Linked DNA regions of Mytilus edulis. The protein of the gene in region 2 purifies or fractionates together with the protein of the main gene of each other region. This does not show direct contact. Links are inferred from orthologs where the notes say so. Each region holds a gene or a part of one and is shown on either strand. Other genes may lie near its edges. The genes, in order: putative transferase CAF17 homolog, mitochondrial; iron-sulfur cluster assembly 2 homolog, mitochondrial-like.

Region 1 (11,718 bases), on a different chromosome or scaffold from region 2:
ATACTGTGAGCCACATGTAGACGTGATGAGATGTGTTGTAAAGTTTTCAGAAGGATCTTCATGTTAGCAGTAACACATCAGAATCATTATAATAATCTGATAATCTGCAAGTAATAATGTTTCTGAATTAATAAGCGTATATGATGTAAATGTATAAACTGTAAAACATCTAAAATGTTGTTTTTTTTAACTTTTATTTTGATATCAAATCAATCCATTACACAGACACTAAAAGCATGAAACCAAATGGAAGATAAATATTATTATGGACTCCTGACATCAAGTCAATATCCAAATTGGTTATTCCTGAGAGATTAACATGCATGACATGATTTTCCTAAAACTTATTTTAACATTTTTGATAATAACTTTTGATGTCAGACCATAACTGTAGAATTATACTGAACTAAATATGAAGTAATGTTACTTTATTCATATTGTATCTTTTTTGTGTTTTTTGAATATTTCTATTTCAGAATTGAATGCTTCTTTTGTAAATTCATTAGTGTGTAAAATAGAGGTGAAAGATACCAGTCAAACTCATAGATCCAAAATAAACTGACATGGTTAACTAGAGGCTCTTAAGAGCCTGTGTCGCTCACCTTGGTCTATGTGCATATTCAACAAAAGACACAGATGGATTAATGAGAAAATTGTGTTTTGGTGATGGTGATGTGTTTGTAGATCTTACTTTACTGAACATTCTTGCTACTTCTTCATCTTTAATGAACTTGGCCCATTAGTTACAGAGGAAAATATTTTGTTAAAAATTTACAAAATTTATGAAAATTGTTAAAAATTGACTGTAGAGGGCTGTTACTCCTTAAGGGGTCAACTGACCATTTTTGTCATGTTTGATTTATTTGTAGATCTTACTTTGCTGAACATTATTGCTGTTTACAGTTTATCTCTATCTACAATAATATTCAAGATAATAACCAAAAACGGCAACATTTCTTTAAAAATTACAAATTCAGGGGCAGTAACCCAACAACCAGTTGTCTGATTCGTCTGAAAATTCAGGTCAGATAGATCTTAATATCATCAACAATTTAACCTCTTGTCAGATTTGCTCTAAATGCTTCGGTTTCAGAGTTATAAGCCAAAATCTACATTTTACCCCCTATGTTCTATTTTTAACCATGACGGCCATCTTGGTTGGTTGGAGGGTCATGCCACACATTTTTTAAACTAGATACCCCAATGATGATTGAGTCCATGTATGGTTAAATTTGGCCCAGTAGTATCAGAGGAGAAGATTTTTGTAAATGATTACAAAAATTTACGAAAAATTGGTAAAAAATGACTATAAAGGTTTATAACTCCTTAACAGGTCAACTGACCATTTTGGTCACGTTGATTTATTTGTAGATCTTACTTTGCTGATCATTATTGCTGTTTACAGTTTATCTCTATCTATAATAATATTCAAGATATTAACCAAAAACTGCAAAATTTCTTTAAAATTGCCAATTCAGGGACAGCAACCCAACAACTGGTTGTCCAATTTGTCTGAAAATTTCAGGGCAGCTAGATCTTGACATGATAAACAAATCAACCCAGTCAGATTTGCTCTAAATGCTTTGGTTTCAGAGTTATAAGTCAAAATCTACATTTTACCCCTATATTCTATTTTTAGCCATGGTCTTGGTTGGTTGGCCAGGTCACGCCACACATTTTTTAAACTAGATACCCAAATGATGATTGTGGCTAAGTTTGATTAAATTTGGCCCAGTAGTTTTAGAGGAGAAGATTTTTGTAAAAGTTAATGACGACGGACAACGACGACGACGGACACCAAGTGATGAGAAAAGCTCTCTTCGCCTTTTAGGCCAGGTGAGCTAAAAATGAACAATGACAAACAGACAAATAATAGTACATTGTACACATGACACAACATAGAATATCTAAAGACTAAGCAACATGAAGTTATGAACCCCACCTAAAACTGGGGGTGATCTCAGGTGCTCCGAAAGAGTAAGCAGATCCTGCTCCATATGTGACACCCGTTGTGTTGTGCTTGGGATATTAATTTGTCCTTGAAATCGTGGTGCCCATTTAATAGGGCTGCAATAACCATGATAACCTTGAATAAATTTCTTTTGTGAAACAGTTCTTATTGTTCAAATATGTCCATTCTAAGAATCACAGCATCCAAATTATGTATGGCATTATGTATTTTTTTTTTTTTCAATTACATAATCTCAAGGTCCATTAACAATATTGACCTAATTACAAAATTTTATGTAGACGTAGAAGAGGGAAGAAAGATACCAGAGGGATAGTCAAACTCATAGATTGAAAACAAACTGACAACGCCATGGCATGGTGTTGTCAGTTTGTTTTCAATCTATGAGTTTGAGATGATGGCTAAAAATAAAAAGACAAACAGACAAATAATAGTACAGAAGACAAAAGTTAAACATTGAAAACTAAAGACTAGGCAACATGAACCCCACCAAAAACTGGGGGGATCACAGTTGCTCCAGAAGGATAAGCAGATCCTGCTCCACATGTGGCACCCATCATGTTGCTCATGTTATTACAAATCTGGTAAAAAGTCTAATTCGGTAGGTCAAAATCGTGAAAAGGGAAGGGTATTGTAATTATGACATAAGGAACATAATTGATATCACCTGTGAGTGGGGTCACCTTCTGTGTCAGTGCACAGTCGCTTGAAAGTGACTGTGGTCAGTGCAATTCCTTTATATGGGGACGAAGTCCCCAATAACAGAAGAAAAATCAATAAAAAAAAATTTTTTTTTAATTTTCATTGTACTAATGAACTCAAAATCGTTCAATTTTTTTGATGTCATGTTTTGAATTCCCACATCTGCGCAGAAATCTACAATGTTTATCCTTTTTCCGGTCTTGTTTGTATGAAACTTTGATTACATATATATTTATCAGTCTAGTATAAAATAGGAAGGAACGCAATACCAATTTCATTTTTAATAATTCCTTGATATGAAAAAACGTTACCTGATGATAGCGTTTCTTTGTTTACATTGCATATGATGTCATAACTGAAGTAAAGTCACAACTAAAATCCCTAACAATAGAACCAAAATCGGAAACTTTACAGTATTTCTGTTTCTTTTTTTAACAAATATTTAAGTTACATCAGTGTTCTCCCCAGAAATTTTGGATAGCATCACATTTTGCGTAAAAAAAATAACTGTATTTTTTTTAATGTCGTTTGTTGCGTCGCGTTGATACTCTATTTCCTTTATATGTTTTAGTTTATATTGTTCAATTCATAACTGAGAATAGAATTAAACTATAACCACAAAAACAGTTGTTTCAGTTTATGTTTTCTTTATTGATATATTGTTACAGAATTATTTTTTTCCTCTTGTGCCAAATAAAAATAAATATGTGGTTTCAGTTACCCAACAATAAGTCAAATGAATGAATGGTTCATTATAGATCAACCTGTTTATATACAAAACTAAATATCTAGTACACAAAATTAACTATTTTTATATTATATGGGGACGAAGTCCCCTATTACAGTAGAAAATTCAATAAAAAAAAATAAAAAAAAAAAAATCGGGAAAATTTCCCGAATTTTTCATTGTACTAATGAACTCAAAATCGTTCAATTTTTTTTTTTTGTCGCGTTTTTTAATTTCCGGATCTGCGCAGAACACATAACTCTACTTCCTTCTTCCGGTCTTGTTGTCGTGAGACTTTGATAAGTCTAGTAAAATATAGGAACTCAAGGAACACAATACCAATATTTCATTTTTAATCATTCTTTGTCTTTGGTATGAATAAACGTTACCTAATGCATTGCGTTTCTTTGTTTACATTGAACATGACGTCATAACTTAGATAACGTCACAAGTAAAATCCCTAACAACAGAACCAAAATCGGAAAAGTTACGGTATTTCTGTTTCTTTTTTTAACAAATATTTAAGTTACAAAAAAATTAATTTAAACAAACTTCGTCCCCATTCACAGGTAATGCCTGCCTCATATTATCAAGTAAAGATAAAGTAGCAAAAGTAGCAAAAAAAATCAATTTAAAAACTTTTTTTATCATGTTTATGAAATTCATTGTTTCATGGCACTCAATAAATTAGTCCCAGTTGTTTCTTATCTTTACATCAAAATGATATGTATTTTTAACAAAGTTATCTAACAAATAGTCTGTTAATGCGTAGTTTTCTCTCTTGGTATATTTTTTCTGTCTACTGTCCATCTGTTGCCACTATCATGAAAATGCAGATTTTTGTCATATCTGGTCCGGTTCCGATCCGCAGTTTACACAAAAATGTGCAATGGCGGCTGTAGAAAAATTTACGAAAATGAGTCAGAGAATAAACATTGTTTGACAAGAGATTGTGAAAGAATAAGACGCTTTTAATGCATTAAATGGATTAAACATAGACTTAAGCCAATTATGATAACTTTTTAAAGAAGTATTAAACTTAGTTTAGCTCTAAACCAAAATTCTCGCTCTCGTATTACCGGAAGAGAAAGAAAGTAATTTTTGGAAAGATGCACAAATAAAGGACCTTTTTAAAAAAAAAAATAAAAATCGTTTCAATCTTTGAAATTTCGTATTACAAAACGTAGATTTCGAAATGTTTTGTGATTGCATTTTTCCATGTCGAAATTGGTGATTGCAGACACGTGGTATTAGTCATGTCACAAGTGTCAGCTTGGCTTGGGATATTCGCATCCAAACAGTTATCACCCTGAGGGCAATTAACACCTAGCTATTTAATCTCTTAATTGCCTTTAGTGTCCCACTTAAAGGGATTACAATTAAGGGTGATATCATTTTTATGATCATACTCGATAATTGATGAAAGTTCAAAATTGAGGACAAGTAAAATAGCATCTTCAAAATAATTATAGCGTCGCGGAAATAATTATAGCGTCGCGGGAATTGTTATAGCATCACGGTGAAAAAATAGTGTCGCGGTACTGCGACGCTAAAATGGCCTGGGGAGAACACTGTACATGTATAAAAAAATAATTCATACAGACTTCATCCCCATTTACAGGTAATGCCTGCCTCATATTATTTGGTATACATACATGACATATTGAAACTATATATTAGAAAAAAAACATTTTTTTCCTGACCTTTCTCTATATACGTTAGGAGTCGAGTGACAGTTAGGTACATGTAAATAACACTGTCACTGGGGTCACTACTGCCTGACAGCTTTGTTTATGGGATATAATTTGTCGAGCAAGCTGGGCCTTACGTGAATTTTTAATAATCAAGAAATATTGTTACTCTATCTTCAGAACAGATGCACTTGTCAAATCTTTGAAAGCTCACTTTAAGCTAGACAGGTGAAGAAAACAGTGAAACTGAAAGTCAACTTTTCAATCATAGGACAGGGGAGATCACTCAAAATTGAAACATGCTAAAACGCGTCACAAAGTACCGAATCAGTTCCCGGAGAACCCATCAAAATTACAGACACAGTCATATATTGCAATTTAAACTCATATAAATCAATGATATGCCCTGCACTCATCGACAAATGCAGGTGTGGACAAAAAGAAACAGTTGACCATTATCTTCTGGATTGTGAGAATTATGAGGAGGCTAGAGAAAAACTCCGCTCTGCACTCTATTTCATAACATCAAAACTAACACTTGAATCAGAAGTACTAGGTTTTTATTAAAGATACTGGAAGGTTCACAAAATAGATAGTTAAGGTCCTATAAGGGTTAATTATTTATTCTTTTTTTGATTTTTTTTTTTTTTTTTTTTTTTTTGAATTAATTATTTAATTATTTATTTATTTATTTAGTTTCTCTGCAGTGCCACATCATAAATACAAATGTACTAATGAGTTTAATACAATAGAGACATAAAATTACCAGAGTGATCGAAATTACAGATAGAGATTATAGTGTCAAGTTGACACTTCTAAAGACTAAAGACTAAAGTCATTCTGCCTATAGACATTTAGGTATACTTAGGGAATTAACCTTTTAGGGGGAGGGTATGTTTTGTTTAATAAAATAAAATCTAATCTGATCCCTAATTTGATGAAAAAAAATATTCTGGTCAAGTACATGGCAAAAAAATATTCTAAATGCAAATTCCCACTTAGTTATACGTCCTTGCTTATAGTGTTAAATTTTAAAAAAAATAGTATAATTGATTGCATTGAAAAACCAAATAAATTGGTTCGCGGGAACAGTATTTTATAACATGCTTCATGAAAAGGAAAGAAAAAAAAGAAAAAACTTGAACTGATCAATTAATTATGAGATACGGTCTGGAATCATTTCGAGCTTTTGAACAATGGACTTCATACAAGTATATCGACACATCACTTTTCTAATCTTAAATATAAAAAAGCAAATAGAAAAAAAATTTCAGCTGAAAAACAGTTGTTGCCAAAAATAGCTAATATACAACACCAGTGGCGGATCAAGCCATTTTAAAAAGGGGGGGGGGGTCCCAACTCAGAGTAAACGGGGGGGGGGGGGGGGGTTTCCAACTATATATTCCCATTCAAATGCATTGATCGGCCAAAAAAAGGGGGGAGTTCCAACCCCCAACCCCTTGGATCCGCCACTGAAAACGTCAGTATTTTATGTATTAGTCTGAGGGTAGTTTTGTCCAATGACACTAATAAAAATGTTATCTCGGTCATACTAATATACCGGTATATATTTCTGAAGTTCAGCCGATTGGTTCAATAACAAACAGCACACTGCCTAAAATAAATCGCCCAATGCCGTTTTAATTGACTTTCTGTCCAGTTGCTTAAGGATGTACTTAGGTGAAGTTGTGGCATGAATTTGTGTCAAATGTTCGGACTCCTTGGTGTTTCTCCATACAATACAATGTAAATTATTTTGCCCCATAACACCCATTTATTTTTTCATATAAGACTTAATAGCTCATGAAAGGTCATTTACCAAAATTTTAGAAGACTCTTGGTTTTCTTTCTTTTGTTTTGAGACCCAAATGATACCAATGCAAATATAATGTAAAAGTCCGAGTCAGTCTTTTCCCGCCATATTTTAAATCTCAAATATCTCGAAAAGGAGGTCCATGATTAGCTTATCTTTATCCTTAATTGATGCTCTACCAGCTTATAGTATCATTTTTAATTTCTTAATTTCCTAATTTTTACCAAACCTCACCTAAGTACATCCTTAAAAGACTATCGACAGTCATGACCGTCATGCGCGTAGCTACGTTTACCTCAAAACGCCCGAGCGTACAGTTGAATTTGAAAATAAAACAAATAAACGACATAGAATAAGAAAAAATGGTCAAAAGCACATCATCCTTGTGCTTCTTTTTTCAATGGATTATATAATTTTAAATAACTAGAGGCTCTAAGAGCCTGTGTCGCTCACCTTGGTCTATGTGAATATTAAACAAAGGAAGCAGATGGATTCATGACAAAATTGTGTTTTGGTGATGGTGATGTGTTTGTACGTCTTACTTTACTGAACATTCTTGCTGCTTACAGTTATCTCTATTTATAATGAACTTGGCCCAGTAGTTTCAGTGGAAAATGTTAATTAGTAAAAATTTACAAATTTTATAAAAATTGTTAAAAATTGACTATAAAGGACAATAACTCCTTAGGGGGTCAATTGACCATTTCAGTCATGTTGTCTTATTTGTAAATCTTACTTTGCTATACATTATTGCTGTTTAAAGTTTATCTTTATCTATAATAATATTCAAGATAATAACCCAAAACAGTAAAATTTCCTTAAAATTACCAATTTAGGGGCAGCAACCCAACAACGGGTTGTCCGATTCATCTGGAAACTTCAGGGCAGGTAGATTTTGACCTGATAAACAATTTTACCCATGTCAGATTTGCTCTAAATGCTTTGGTTTTTGAGTTATAAGCCAAAAACTGCATTTTACTCCTATGTTCTATTTTTAGCCATGGTGGCCATCTTGGTTGGATGGCCGGATCACCGGACACATTTTTTTAAACTAGATTACCCAAAGCTGATTGTGGCCAAGTTTGGAATAATTTGGCCCAGTAGTTTCAGAGGAGAAGATTTTTGTAAAAGATTACTAAGATTTACGAAAAATGGTTAAAAATTGACTATAAAGGGCAATAACTCCTAAAGGGGTCAACTGACCATTTCGGTCATGTTGACTTATTTGTAGATCTAACTTTGCTGAACATTATTGCTGTTAACAGTTTATCTCTATCTATAATAATATTCAAGATAATAACCAAAAACAGCAAAATTTCCTTAAAATTACCAATTCAGGGGCAGCAACCCAGCAACCATTTGTCTGATTCATCTGAAAATTTCAGGGCAGATACATCTTGACCTGATAAACACTTTTACTCCGTCAGATTTGCTCTAAATGCTTTGGTTTTTGAGTTATAAGCCAAAAACTGCATTTTACCCCTATGTTCTATTTTTAGCCATGGCGCCCATCTTGGTTGGTTGGCCAGGTCACGCCACACATTTTTTAAACTAAATATCTCAAAGATGATTGTGGCCAAGTTTGGAATAATTTGGCCCAGTAGTTTCAGAGGAGAAGATTTTTGTAAAAGATTACTAATCTTTACGAAAAATGGTTAAAAATTGACTATAAAGGTCAATAACTCCTAAAGGGGTCAACTGACCATTTCAGTCATGTTGACTTATTTGTAAATCTTACTTTGATGAACATTATTGCTGTTTACAGTTTATCTCTATCTATAATAATATTCAAGATAATAACAATATAACGGCAAAATTTCCTTAAAATTGCCAATTCAGGGGCAGCAACCCAACAACCGGTTGTCCGATTCGTCTGAAAATTTCAGGGCAGATAGATCTTGACTTAATAAACAATTTAACCCTGTCAGATTTGCTCTAAATGCTTCGGTTTCAGAGTTATAAGCCAAAAACTGCATTTGACCCCTATGTTCTATTTTTAGCCATGGGGGCCATCTTGGTTGGTTGGCCGGGTAACCGAACATATTTTTCAAACTAGATACCCCAATGATGATTGTGACCAAGTTTGGTTAAATTTGGCCCAGTAGTTTCAGAGGAGAAGATTTTTGTAAAAGTTAACGACGACGGACGACGGACGACGACGGACGCCGGACGCCAAGTGATGAGAAAAGCTCACTTGGCCCTTCGGGCCAGGTGAGCTAAAAAGGGACTAAATTTACTCAAATAGATCATTTAATATATTTGTTCGAATCTTTTGTAAAAGTCTGAATCTACTATGAATTCTACGTACTTTTCTTATATTCAAAGCAATTCACTATCTGCTCAGATTCGATATGCTGTTTGTATTTTTGTCGAGCCTGTGAGTTATGTCCCAAAAGCGAGACAAAGCGGCGTCAATATTTAGGTTCCGAATGTGGATAAAGTCATTTGAATGACTCTCCATGAAATTTTACGAAAGTTGGACAGAAACTGTTTATGAACAAAAGAGTATTCAGAGCAATATTATAATGCAACTATATCTTTAATTTTCCCGCATTTTAAGTACAAAATGTTTTTCTTTCTACAATTAATAAGTGGTCGCAGTTTGGGCTTACATTTTGTTATTTCTCAATTACATTAACTACTTGTCGAACCTTCATTGAATTTTATGAAAATGCTGAAGAAGCTTTTTCTATGACTAATGTCTAAAGCTAAAATTTTGAAAGCATTTGTTTTCGTTCATTTTACTGTTCTTTTCTGATAGAATAACAGTCGGGCTCTTCTTCGCGCAATTAATTGTTTTACATGCTCAAATTACAATTTATAAACCTTCATAGATTGTCGTGAAATATTCCAGATCATTAAAAGGTGCTTTTGTCGATTGTATGCTCACTCACGGCACCCTTTAAACTTATTTAAAGTGTGATGTGTTTTCGTACTAATAACAATTTTCGCTGCTTACGTTTTTCACTGTTGAGTTTTTATTCACATGTATACTCAAATTTGAAAGGCATGTTCTGTAGAATTTTTTAAGGTATTGAGATTTTTTTGTCACGGCTTAATACGATTTTTGTATTGTTTCCGATTATTTTGTGATTTTTGTATGTCAAAAACGTCGTCATATGTTTTCGTATGAAGCAAAAACTGGATCAGTACACGGACAGGAAATCTATACTATTAAACGAGAAGACCTCATTTTGTGTGTCGCTTCTCTTCCTTCCACAATAAATCAATCACCATGCCTCTGTGTCCTATAGGTTACTTGCATAGTCGCATTTGTCATCCATTCTTATGATTATTCAGATTGAGTTATTTTGGGGAAAAAAACTACAAAAAGGTGTCACACCACCAATTACGATCAATTACTCCCTCAAATTTAGAACGTGAAAGTAGGCCTACTCGAACAAAAAATAGTGCATTTGATGTCATTGTTTACTTAAACTACCCAACAAATTTGCAGAAATGAAACTTTTGGTGAAAGAGAAATATATTAAGACTATTTTGAGCCCAAATTTACTTGTCTATGAGTTGACATTAAAAATTGAGGATTAATGCGCTCCATAGTATACTAATTTAAGATTTCAAGAAAACCAGGGGTTATTTTTAGTGGTACATCCATTCGGAAGGTCTCTTCTTTCTTATATGGCTTTAAAGGTATGCTGAAAATTGGCATGAAGAAAGGTGATACCTGTACGATTCAGGACATACCTGGTTTGTAAGAGGTTAAACTTAAGATAAAAAATTTAGAAAGCTATGAAAATTGCAAAATTTGGTTGAACAGATAGGGACTTTTAATTGGTGGTCTGACACCTTTAAGCAAAATGCGGTGAAACATCAAAATCAGAAAACAATTGTTTTTTTTTGTCTTAACTGATCATTTGAGATAATAGTAGCCACATTTCAATCTTTTTGGGGGCAGAATGTCACATATTGCAAATTTAGAGCCTAAAACTTGAGTTTGTGCTATTTTTAGCTTTTCCCACCCTGACAATATGCTTTTATATAAAAAATGTCCTAAATAATGTTATAAATCCACAGAAAATTATTCTGTGGTGTTAAACATTGAAACATAGGTTGTTTACTACCCCCAAACAAATTTTGTCATGAAGATTTAATGAAATTATTTGATTTTTACCCCTTATATCATTGCGTCATAATATGTACTTGGCAGATAGCATATATATATATAGCCTAATGTAAACACTGCAGAAACTCACAAAAGTACCATTTATTATTCCAAATGGAATTTTTATATCTTAAATTTTATTAACTGATGTAAATAAACACAGTTAAATGACAATGACTGCACTTTTGATCAATTTGTAGTACTTTACTGACACCAGATGAAAAAAAGGGGGGTCAATATTCCTTGACACTTCAATACCTTGGATTTTTTACTAAATTCATTGCAAAAATTGTGGAAAGTCTTTAAAGAAGTAGAACAAACAAGGAAAAATCAGCAAAAACTGATCTTGATATTGAAAGTTTATGTTCCTGTAGCCCAAAATGAAATTTTCAAGTATTTTCTATCAAAGTCATACATTACAGTCAGTTTAAATTGAGCTTTAAAATTTTTAATATAAGTCGCATAATATATAGAGACTCTCTGTATTCTGTATACTGTTTTTTTTCTTTTAAATGTTTACTATTCAAGGGGTCATTTCATTTGCATTTATATTAAAATAAGTAAAACATGTGACATAAGTACAACCAATCGTAGAGCGTTCTCCATATCATGGTGTTTAGATCCCAAAAATCACAACTATTATACCTCCTTACATAAGACAAATATTTTTCGCGTTTATCTACATGTAAACTA
Region 2 (11,708 bases):
TTTACTAGTAAAATACATCTCCACAACAAAATAACTTTTTGCAATTTATTTAAATTATCAAAAACTCACATTTATTGCACTTTGGCTAAGACGGAGGGCTTCACTCGATGATTCACTCTCAACTTGTTCAGTCTGATTCTTAGTTGATGCATATCTTATTCCAGACAAATTTCTGAAAATGAGAAAATACCATAAGTAAAATAATCAAATCATATTCCTTTTAACTTTCAAAGTAAAAAAGGTGATGTTTCCATATTCTCACAGAACAACAGACACTTTCTGCGTAAGTTTTTCTTATTCTAAGTGCCTGTGCAAATCAACAAACTAATACAATGTATAGAAATGAAGATATGGATGTATAGAGAAAGAGTTTATGACTCATTCTTAGCGACCTTTTACAAAAAGACTTAACATCATTGGAAGAATGGGAGAATAAATGGCAAATGAGTTTTAACGCCAAAAAATGCATAGTTATAAAAATAACTCAGAAGAACAAAGAAGTGAGAGATACATCATATAAACTCGACGGACATACACAAGACAATGTTGATGAAAGCAAATACTTAGGCGTAACAATCAGCAACAACCTATCTTGGAATAGACACATTGACAATATTGTGGGCAAAGAAAATAAAACATTGGGATTTATCCGAAGAAATCTAAAAGACTGCACAAAACCAGTAAAAGCAGCAGCATATACAGCCATGGTAAGACCTTCAGTGGAATATGCCTGCACAGTTTGGGATCCATCAAGCCAAAAAAAGATTAAATCATTGGAACAAGTTCAAACCAGATGCTCCGCAGGGCGCAGCTTTATACGACCGCAGAGGTTGAACCCTGAACAGTTGGGCAAGTATGGACACAACATTCAAGATGGATACAGCTCTAAATTTGGATTGTGATTAAATAGTTGACAAAGCATAGGTTTCTGACACAGAATGAATGTGGTCTAATGAACTTAAAATATTTTTTTTGCCTTTGAGCAATTCACTTTGCTGTTGAATATTAATCCTCTCAAAAAAATGTTTGAAGAAATTTTCTTTTTTTTATGAAATCTGAAATGAGAAAAATTTAACCCCCCCCCCCCCACTGAATGGTAAAGATTGTTTTAATTTATCAGTTGGTAGTAAAAGTGAATATACATTGTATATTATTATCACTGTACTATTATGCATATTTTAGGGGCCAGCTGAAGGACACCTACGGGTGCGGGAATTCTCGCTACATTGAAGACCCATTGGTTGCCTTCGGCTGTTGTTTGCTCTATGGTCGGGTGGTTGTCGCTTTGACATATTCACCATTTCCTTTCTCAATTTTATATTGTATAAAACAATGATTTAAGTTGACTCAACTACTATGCTGGACAAAGAAAGATAACTCCAATCAATTGAAAATTTCTTGCTATTGCACAATATTGTGCAATTAGATATTTCTGGCTATTGCGCAATACTGTGCAATTGAAAATATTTGCTATTGCACAATACTGTGCAATTGAAGATTTCTTGATATTGCACAATACTGAGCAATTGAAAATTTCTTGCTATTGCACAGTACTGTGCAATTGAAGATTTCTTGCTATTGCTGAATACTGTGCAATTGAAAATTTCTTGCTATTGCACAATACTTAAAATGACTAGATATCATTGAGATGGGAGTCATCTCTGTGGGCCCCGCTGTGAATAATGTGCATTAAAAAATTGTATCTTTACCATAGGACATGGGTTTGTCAACTGAAATCAAAGTTTTTGACCTTGACCTTTGACCTAGGAAGTTGTACATAAATTATGACACACCCTTTGGTGTTGGTTTATAAACATGTCAAGTAGAAACTTTGAAATGATAACGGTTCTCAAGATATAGAGCGGACACGATCTTTACCATAGGACATGGGGTTGTCAACTGAAATCAAAGTTTTTGACCTTGACCTTTGACCTAGGAAGTTGCACATAAACTATGACACACCCTTTGGTGTTGGTTTATATACATGTCAAGTATAAACTTTGAAATGATAACGGCTCTCAAGATCTAGAGCGGACACAATCTTTACCATAGGACATGGGGTTGTCAACTGAAACCAAAGTTTTTGATCCTTGAACTTTGCCCTAGGCAGTCGTTCATAAATTATGACACACCCTCTGGTGTTGGTTCATATACATGTCAAGTATAAACTTTGAAATCATATCGGTTTTCAATATATAGAGCGGACATGATCTTCACAACAGGACAAAGGGTTGTCAACTGAAACCAAAGTTTTTTTACCTTGACCTTTGACCTAGGAAGTTGTACATATATCATGACACACCCTCTGGTGGTGGTTAATAAACATGTAAAGTATAAAGTATGAAATCATAATGGTTCTCTAGATATGAAGCGGACACAAAGTGTTATGGACGGACAGACTGATCACTATAGGGGACCCGCCTTTGGCGGGGCCCTAATAATTTTGGATCCTGATTTGAAACAACTTGAAAACTGGGCCCATAAACAAAAATCTAAGTACATGTTTAGATTCAGCATATCAAAAAAGCCCAATAATTCAATTTTTGTTAAAATCAAATTTAGTTTAATTTTGGACCCTTTGGACTTTAATGTAGACCAATTTGAAAACAGGACCAAAAATTAAGAATCTACATACACAGTTAGATTTAGTATATCAAAGAACCCCAATTATTCAATTTTTGATGAAATCAAACAAAGTTCAATTTTGGACCCTTTTGGGCCCCTTATTCCTAAACTGTTGGGACCAAAACTTTTATGGTCATAAACCTTGTGTTTAAATTTCATAGATTTCTATTTACTTATACTTAAGTTATGGTGCGAAAACCAAGAATAATGCTTATTTGGGCCCCTTTTTGGCCCCTAATTCCTAAACTGTTGGGACCTCAACTCCCAAAATCAATCCCAACCTTCCTTTTGTGGTCATAAACCTTGTGTTTAAATTTCACTGATTTCTATTTACTTATACTAAAGTTATAGTGCGAAAACCAAGAAAATGCTTATTTGGGCCCTTTTTGGCCCCTAATTCTTAAAATGTTGGGACCAAAACTCCCAAAATCAATCCCAACCTTCCTTTTGTGGTCATAAACCTTGCGTGAAAATTTCATCGATTTCTATTCACTTTTACTAAAGTTAGAGTGCGAAAACTAAAAGTATTCGGACGACGACGCAGGATGACGACGCCAACGTAATAGCAATATACGACGAAAAATTAAAATTTTTGCAGTCGTATAAAAAGAGCAGCAAGATTTGTTCATAATAACTACTAAGACCGAACACCTGGATGTGTAACACACATGGTTAAACAATTACAGTGGAAAAGCCTGGAAGAACGTAGAAAAACCAACAGACTATGTATGCTATTTAAAATCCAGCATGGGCTTATTGATATAGATAGACAACAATATCCAATGACAGCTGGACCAGAGGTATAGGCCGCTTTTACCAAGAAAGAACAAAATCTGAAACCTATGGACAGTCATTCTTCCCAAAGACCATCAGGGATTGGAATCAACTACCAGCTAAAACAACATCAGCCGACTCGATAGAGGGTTTCAGAGCTGCTCTGAAAGCAGGCTCTGGAAGGAAATGAACAGCATAGAGTGTACATAATTTTAATTGTAAATTGGCGAATGTTTTAAATGTATATAACTTTGAGAGGACTTGCTGCCTTGCCCGGCAATGCGCCAAGTTTTTCGCGGGACCAAAAACATTCAGGATGAATACGGTTCCTTACTTGGAAGAAGAAGAAGAAGAAATATCTAAAATTATGCAACCATCATCTCACTAACTAACAAAGTTAATCTTATTTATTTTAAGGGGTTAAGCTTTCTTATAGGCCAAGTTTTCTAAGGTAATAAGTTGTAATTAATGTTATGCTCTTAATGGGCCCTTTAAAATTTGAAAATAAAAATATTGTATTGTATTGTATTGTATAAGTTTGTTAAACTGAGCCTAGTCATCATAGAATCACACATGTAATAACTGAAAGATCTTTTCTGGCCTTTTATAGCTGACTATGCGGTATGGGCTTTTCTCATTGTCATGATTGTTGAAGGCTGTACGGTGACCTATAGTTGTTAATTTCTGTGTCATTTTGGTCTCTTGTGGACAGTTGTCTCATTGGCAATGATACTACATCTTCTTTTTTATATCTTCATACCAGTGTGGGTTGATAGATTGTTGCTGGCTTAATGTCCAGTGACAATTGGTTCACACTTATACCATGTATTGATGATGTGATACCAATGTGAAAGTCAAACTGAATACCATGTTTTTACTTTCATGTCTTTTCTTCGTATGCGTAAGGTCCGACCATATGGGTATTTTGAAAAAGTATGCATACGGTCTGCAACATTTAGGTACAAGTTAAAAAAAAAAAATTTTTTTTGAAGACATAATCTAGACATAGAACTAATTTTATAGAAAAAATATGTAGATGGACGTCATGGTGAATAAGAATGTGTTCATGGTAGGTATCAGGTCCGTTCACGCCCAATATACTTTCGCACCCTACACGTTTGCACCTCGCACGTTCGCACTCTACACGTTCGCGCCCAATTTTAATTCAAATTCCAGTTGAATAGTTGGAAAATCATCATTGTTGTTTTTAATTGCTTTCGTGTAAATAATGAATGTATTTATAGCTTGGTATGAGTAAAAGATTCAAGATTATAAATGAAAAACACAAAAGATAATTGTTTTTAACAGCTTGGTCCCTTTGATCTGAACATGCTGAAACAAAGAAACAATAAAATATAGCAATACACTATTATAACCAAAACATGATAAAATTTATTCAAGACTCAAAAAAAAAAAAAAAACGTAGTCAGAATCTCACTTCATTTTGAAACAAGTCAATATGAAACAAAGTTATACATGTTATAGTAATACACTAACCAAAACATGATAAAGAGTTATTCAACACAAAATAAAACGTTGACAGAATCCCACTTTATTTAGAAATAGAAAGGAATATTTTTTTTTTTTTAAATACACTATCCAAAACATGATTAAGATTTATTCAACACAAAAAAATGCTGTATCACTTTATTTTCAGACAATGAAAACAATAATACTTATAAGAATACTACTTGATTACAAAGTTGAAATTGGGCGCGAACATGTAGGGTGCGAACGGACTTTGGGTGCGAAAGTGAAAGGGGGCGAACATGAGTGGGTGCGAACGTGAATGGGCGCGAACGGACCCGGATTCGTTCATGGTACATGTACACAGATGGCCCATTCACACTATCATTTTCTATGTTCAGTGGACCAGGAAATTGGGGGAAAACTCTTATTTGGCATTAAAATTAGAAAGATCATATCATACTGAATCATAGGGAACATGTTTACTAAGTCTTTCAAGTTGAAAATTGTTAAATTGTTAGTTTAAAATGTTGCATAAGCTAAAATGTCATATATAAAAGCAAGGCAACATTTTAAACTTCAAGATGTTATGAGGTTCTTGTTTATACTTGTATTTTGTAAGATTTTGTCTTCTAATTGCGCAGAAAGCCGTATATGACACTTTTTTCAGAAGAGATGTCATTTCGTTTTTGTTTACTTCATTCCATCAAGAGTTGTATCCCTTTAGCTCTTACTTAGGCTTAATACCGAAAGACAGTGATGCATACAACACAGGAACATAACGGTCATAAATTTTATATATGATCAGTCAAATTATTCAAAAAGTTTGTCATATAAACTAACTAACTCTAAACATATATAAGTTTGTGACAAATTACATGAATGCAAACAAACACCAAACACATTTTTAAAATGAAAGCCATAGAAATCCATATCCTATTAAAACATACACAAGTAAAAATCTAACGATCTACCTGAGAGTACTATAACACATTTTTATAGTAGTCTCAGGATCTACTAAGTCATATCAGATATATTTCATATCCCAATAAAAACATACACAAGTAAAAATCTAACGATCTACTAAGTCATATATATATTTTATGATAAATCAATCAAAGAGCTCATGTCCTCATTCTAATACCTGTTTTAAGTTTTAAAAGGATATTAAAATTCCGTTTTGAAGTTGATGGGGGAAAATATTCAATTTTCTACACCGTGAGGACATCATGAAAATCTGGCATGTATTTAACCTGAGACTACTATATATATATAACACATTATAGTGCCAGGTTTAACTACATTTCCTAAAAAGTTATCTCTTAGTTTAGATTTTTGTTACAGTATAAAATGAAATGAGCTTCATCCTCCAATGTATTGCAGGATGGTCATAGTCTTTTTCTAGGTATTTTTAAATGTTTTCCTTTTTCTTTCAATAAATTATGGTCTGCACTAATTATGATAAATACTTTATTTAATAAATTATTCTCATCTTTGTTGTGTTAATTCTCTTATCACTAGACTTACAGTTTAAAAGTAACCTTTCTATTTCTAAATTTTGCATCAAACTTCTAGCTATAAAACCAGGTTCAATCCACCATTTTCTACATTAGAGAATGCCTGTACCAAGTCAGCAATATGACAGTTGTTATCCATTCGTTTGATGTGTTTGGACTTTTGATTTTGCCTTTTGATTTTGAATTTTCCTTTTGAATTTTCCTCAGAGTTCAGTATTTTTATGTTTTTACTTTTTTTTTTATATTAAAACACTAAATGTACTAAATTTTCTGGACTGGCAAAGTCGCAAAACAATGTTGGATTCTTTTTTTGTGCTTTTTTTTCGATCGGAATTTCATAAACTAAATATTATTGCATACTGAATTGTACTTTTCGTATTGTTAACTTTCCTCAGTTCTATCTCGGACTAAATACATGATACATTAATACATGATAATATTCATATTGGTCCAAGCTTCCATTGATTGTGATTGCCAGGCTTAAGAAATGGTTTTTCAGATAGCTCGACACGCACATGTTGAAACTAAAGTTGCAGATTTTTATTAAAAAGATTATTCTGTACATATTTGTTGTTGAAAACCGTTTCATATAGTACTCGAAGGAAGGGCCATATTGTCATAAATTAATTTAAGGTCCCGCTCAAATTTTAATTTCCGCAAGTAAGTTTTCTGGTATGCTAAGGGACGACATCAAAAGTTCAATGAAGGATAAAAAAAAACTTAATTCACATAGTTTTTTCACTGACCCCCTGCCCCCACCCCCCTCTTAACTTAATTTGGGAAAAATTGATTTACCTATATGGATATATGTAAAATCGATTTTAAATTAACAAAACTTGCAGCAATGTTAACCCCCACCCCAAACTATTTGATTTAAGTTTGTTATCCTACATCGATCTTTTGCATGTTTTGATGTCGTCCATAAGAACACGATAACTTTCAATATGAAATGGTATGTCTTGTCAGATTTAAAAGTTATGACTGTCAGGGAAAATATAAAGTAATATTTTTTACAAGAACTATTATCGTTGAAATATTTTATTATTCTTCTAAAACGGGATTTTAAAACATTCACTTTTTTCTAGTCCAGAGCAGGAAAATACATCAATGAATGAGAATAAAATGCAGCAAATATTAGTGCATGATGATGATGTATATTGCATGAACTTTGTAGATATAATTATGCTCTATATGAACCCTTTAATTGAGAATAGTGCGTGTACTATTATATTCAACAGCACCAGGGGATCGCAAAGTATATATATATATTGAGATTTAAAAGGCAATATTTTAAATCATAAATTGTTAGTCCCCAATCTTCAAGTGTTACTGGTACACAATAGAGAATAATGGTAAGTAATGGACGAAAAAAAAAAAGAGCAAAAATGAGTTATTTTTTTAAGATAAAGAGATCAGGTATGAACACTGACACTAAGTTAAGTAAATAATTTGAGAATAAATTCATATATAATATAAGTTTATTATTCTTCTATTCCCATATATATGTGGTTTTTAGCTTGATTATGACCAATTGCTTATATTCCAAATATATATGTATATGCCTCTATTATTGTTGTTGTTAACCAATTATGTAAATCAATTGTATCGGATTTTATGCCCTTTATGCGCCCTGTAATTTGGGAAATAAAAATATTATATTCTATTCTATACTAAAATTTTCTTAAAAGTCCTCCAAAAAATTAAACGGAATTCAATTAATTGAAGACCACCCATTCAAACCAATGTACTCATAGTTGTGCATATTTGGAGTATTCGTATAAAAAAAGTATTGTTTGCTCTCCCGATTCTAGCGTTATTTTAAACATGAAAAAACGCGGACGTCAATTAAGCGAGGACGTCACTGAAAACACCTCTACTCATGATGCGGACGTCATAGAGACACGGGTACTCTTCGTATGTTAATTAAAGTATTTAAAATCAGAATTGAAATATACGCATTTTTCGTTATTGAACTATATTATTACTTATAAAAAATAATGTTGTTTATAGGACTATTATTCAAAACCCTAGCCAATAGATATAATTATCATGAACATTTTAATTTTTTACATTTTACGGCTCCAGATTTTAATCATCATCATAAATAGTTTCAAATGATTTGTCCCTTTTATTTAAAATTATGACAATGTACATATATTGAAATTATTTTTAATCTGTATATATATTTTAGTCCGATATTAGAATATATATTTTCTTTGAAGTTGAAGGTCGCTAATTGCTATTTTAGCGCATGCGTAACACCTACACCTGCTTATTCCTTTCCCATTAGTATTGTAGAACTTCCGTGAATTAGCAGTGCATACAACGGATGATTTTTTAACTCGATGGCAGTGTTGCCACACAATTTGTCATGACACGATTATATAATATACCGAATTCTTAACGTTGTGTGTGGATATATCGCTTTAATGTCTGGAAATTACCCAAAATGGCATCTTTCACTGGATCAATGAAATTAAAAATCTGCGAAGCGGTCGATCTACGACCCACTGATTGTGCCACTCGCCTTCAGATGAGTGTAGCTAAGGCCGTACAGTTAATTGACCCGTATATTTCAATAGATCTAGATGACATTCATATCTACAGGACGTCAACAAAGCCAAAAACTTTAAAACCAGTATGGAATGAAGATTTTCATCTGGAAGTCCATAATGGCCAAACTATCGGACTGACAGTTTTCCATGATGCTGCCATTCCTCCGGACGAATTTGTGGCTAATTGTTTCCTTTCTTTTGATGATATAAAAGACCAGAAAACGAGAGACATGTGGGTGAGTTCAATTTAAGACTTATTTTCTTTTTATTTATGTTTGCTGCTGAAGCGAATGCATATCAAAATTTCAAGATGGATGACTTTCGGAATACACAAATCAGAAAAAGATATTATTAGAATCACTGTTTTAATTTGGACTGAATAAAAACAATGTATTGCTTTAAATCTTTAGTTAAATATGTTGTTATTTATTTTGTAGATTGATCTGGAGCCAACAGGAAAGATACATATAATTATACAGCTTTATAATGCCGAATCAACTGAAGGTATTACCCCATATAATTAACATACATTCTGACACCAATACACACATGTACAATAAACAACACAATGTTGTCATAAATACATACCAGTTATAGTATATTGATGAAAACTATTTCTTCAATACACAACAGATATTGTTTAAATGTCAGATATTTTATATAAGTTTTAGTATGTATAATGTATACATTATGATATGATGGGAATTATGGAAATAGCATTGTACCCCTGCCAATGCTATTGTCATATAGAAAATGAATTCAGTATATAACATATCAAATTTAGATATTAAGTAAATTTATTATAAATTAATAAGAGTTTTATATTTTTTTCTTTTTTGTAAAATGACAAGTAACATGGGACATATACATGGTAGTCCAAATAATTATGACGTCTTGAAAGGCTATTATAATTTTTTTCTTTGACGCCTTACATCAACGTCATAACGCCAAACTCATATATTCAGTTGGACTTTGATAGGGAATTTACTGCTTTATAAAAACGTTAAGCTGATTTCTCCTCAAGATGCTTCATTAAAGGTGTATAAAATATATTTTTGAACCAAACTCGGTACATTTTGACCAACCTGAATTTCCGGATAATGTAAAACAATGGTTCCGGAAATTCGGGTTTTACCGAGTTTGGTGTAAAAATTATTTTATAATCTCCTAAAAAGAAATCAGACAAACGTTTTAAAAAATGCAGTCGACATATTCCCGCCTCGGATGGAATTGTTACTTATATTATTATTTCTGTAGGGATTAATTGGAAATATTTTGCACAAACAAACACATAAAAGGTAAGAATTTTAATATATGCATTTTGTTTTAGCCTTCATTGAAAATTTGATGGCTAAATTGGGTCTCAAAGTTGAGAGCAAAATATGCTCTCAAAGTCCAACCGAAAATGGCGGCTTCAGCATTATGACGTTGATGTAAGGCGTCAAAGAAAAAAATTATAATAGCCTTTCAAGACGTCATAATTATTTGGACTATATACATGGGAAAATCAGACTAATGTTACGCCATGTGATTAAGTTGCACATTCATGACATTGGTCCAACTTAATACTTAACGTTAAAAATGGTCAATGAAAATTTCGCAAATTTCATCAGCATATGCATTAAGGGAGAAGCAACAGACAAATTGCTCATGTTGCTTGCAAGCTTTTATTTCCAAGCTACAGGGCACTTTGTTTTCAAAGTCATGTGTAAAAATATTTGAACAAAAAAAACCTTACCCTCCCTTCTGTAATGTAAATTTGGATATTCACCAGCTACTGATTCGAATGCACTACTTTATTATTGGAGTCTAGTAAAATTTATTGCAGTAAAGAAATTTACTGAATGTTTACTTGACCTTCACCTAAGGTCCTAAAGATCATAAAGCATTTTCATGAAGTCTGTTCCCAACTGTCTTGTCTGACTGTTGTGCCATTAACTTGTTAGAGTTATCATTCTTGCGATCAGTGAAATAATTTTTTCTGATTCTGGCGCTCATCATATTAAAAAGAAAAAAAATTGTCAGTTAAAATAATACTATGACTTGTTTAAAGGATGAATGACTTATTTCGTGTAAAAATGTATAAATTACATAAACAAACGACAACTACTGTACATTAGATTCCTGACTTAGGACAGGTGCAAACATTTGCAGCAGGATTAAACATTTAAATGGTACCAAACCTTATCCTTTTTTTCTGAAGCAATAGCATAACACCACAACATAGAAAAACACACAATAAAATATCAATTGGAAGGCCCAACTCAATCAAAAAACGTAAATTAACACACTTTGAAAGAATAAATTTGATCTGCGATATCTGAATGCAAATGCACAGTTAATAAAATATTAGGGAAAAACATTCAAGGCCAAAAAAGCAAACAAACAAGTCCAAACAAAGCCATGGCAAGACACCACCGCGAAATATTTAACCTTTCGAAAATAATCACTTTTGAAAAAAAAAACGGTTTAAATAATATAATGTATTGTATACATATCAATTTCCAAAATATATCTTGAAATGACATTATAATTAAAAATAACTTTATATGTCCATGCTAGCAATGCTAAGGGTGCATTATGTTATACTCTTGTACGTCCTTCCTTAAGTCTGTCAATGTCTGTTTGCCCAAAATTTGTTTGCTTCAATCAAATGTTATGAAACGCAATGCTTATTACCACAAAACACAGATTAAGTTTGAATTTGGATGGCATCACTTCTACCTTTCAAAAGTTATGCTACTTTACAAATGGAAAAATTCTTGGATAC

What was found.
Region 1: the proteins of iron-sulfur cluster assembly 2 homolog, mitochondrial-like (region 2) and putative transferase CAF17 homolog, mitochondrial purify together in Homo sapiens (co-immunoprecipitation; 4 studies listed by BioGRID and IntAct, with this or other methods). This does not show direct contact. The link is inferred for Mytilus edulis from reciprocal best matches to the Homo sapiens genes ISCA2 and IBA57.

The regions. Positions count from the first base shown.
Region 1 is NC_092353.1:80,593,858-80,605,575, forward strand, and holds the start of putative transferase CAF17 homolog, mitochondrial, read right to left. Parts: upstream 5,384-11,718; 5' UTR 5,102-5,383; intron 105-5,101; 5' UTR 63-104; coding exon 1-62. UniProt on the Homo sapiens protein: Mitochondrial protein involved in the maturation of mitochondrial [4Fe-4S]-proteins in the late stage of the iron-sulfur cluster assembly pathway. Operates in cooperation with ISCA2 in the maturation of [4Fe-4S] proteins.
Region 2 is NC_092346.1:1,250,697-1,262,404, forward strand, and holds the start of iron-sulfur cluster assembly 2 homolog, mitochondrial-like, read right to left. Parts: upstream 5,609-11,708; 5' UTR 5,549-5,608; coding exon 5,475-5,548; intron 173-5,474; coding exon 70-172; intron 1-69. Other genes in the region: calcium-independent protein kinase C-like, read left to right, coding at 8,833-9,174, 9,376-9,442. UniProt on the Homo sapiens protein: Involved in the maturation of mitochondrial 4Fe-4S proteins functioning late in the iron-sulfur cluster assembly pathway. May be involved in the binding of an intermediate of Fe/S cluster assembly.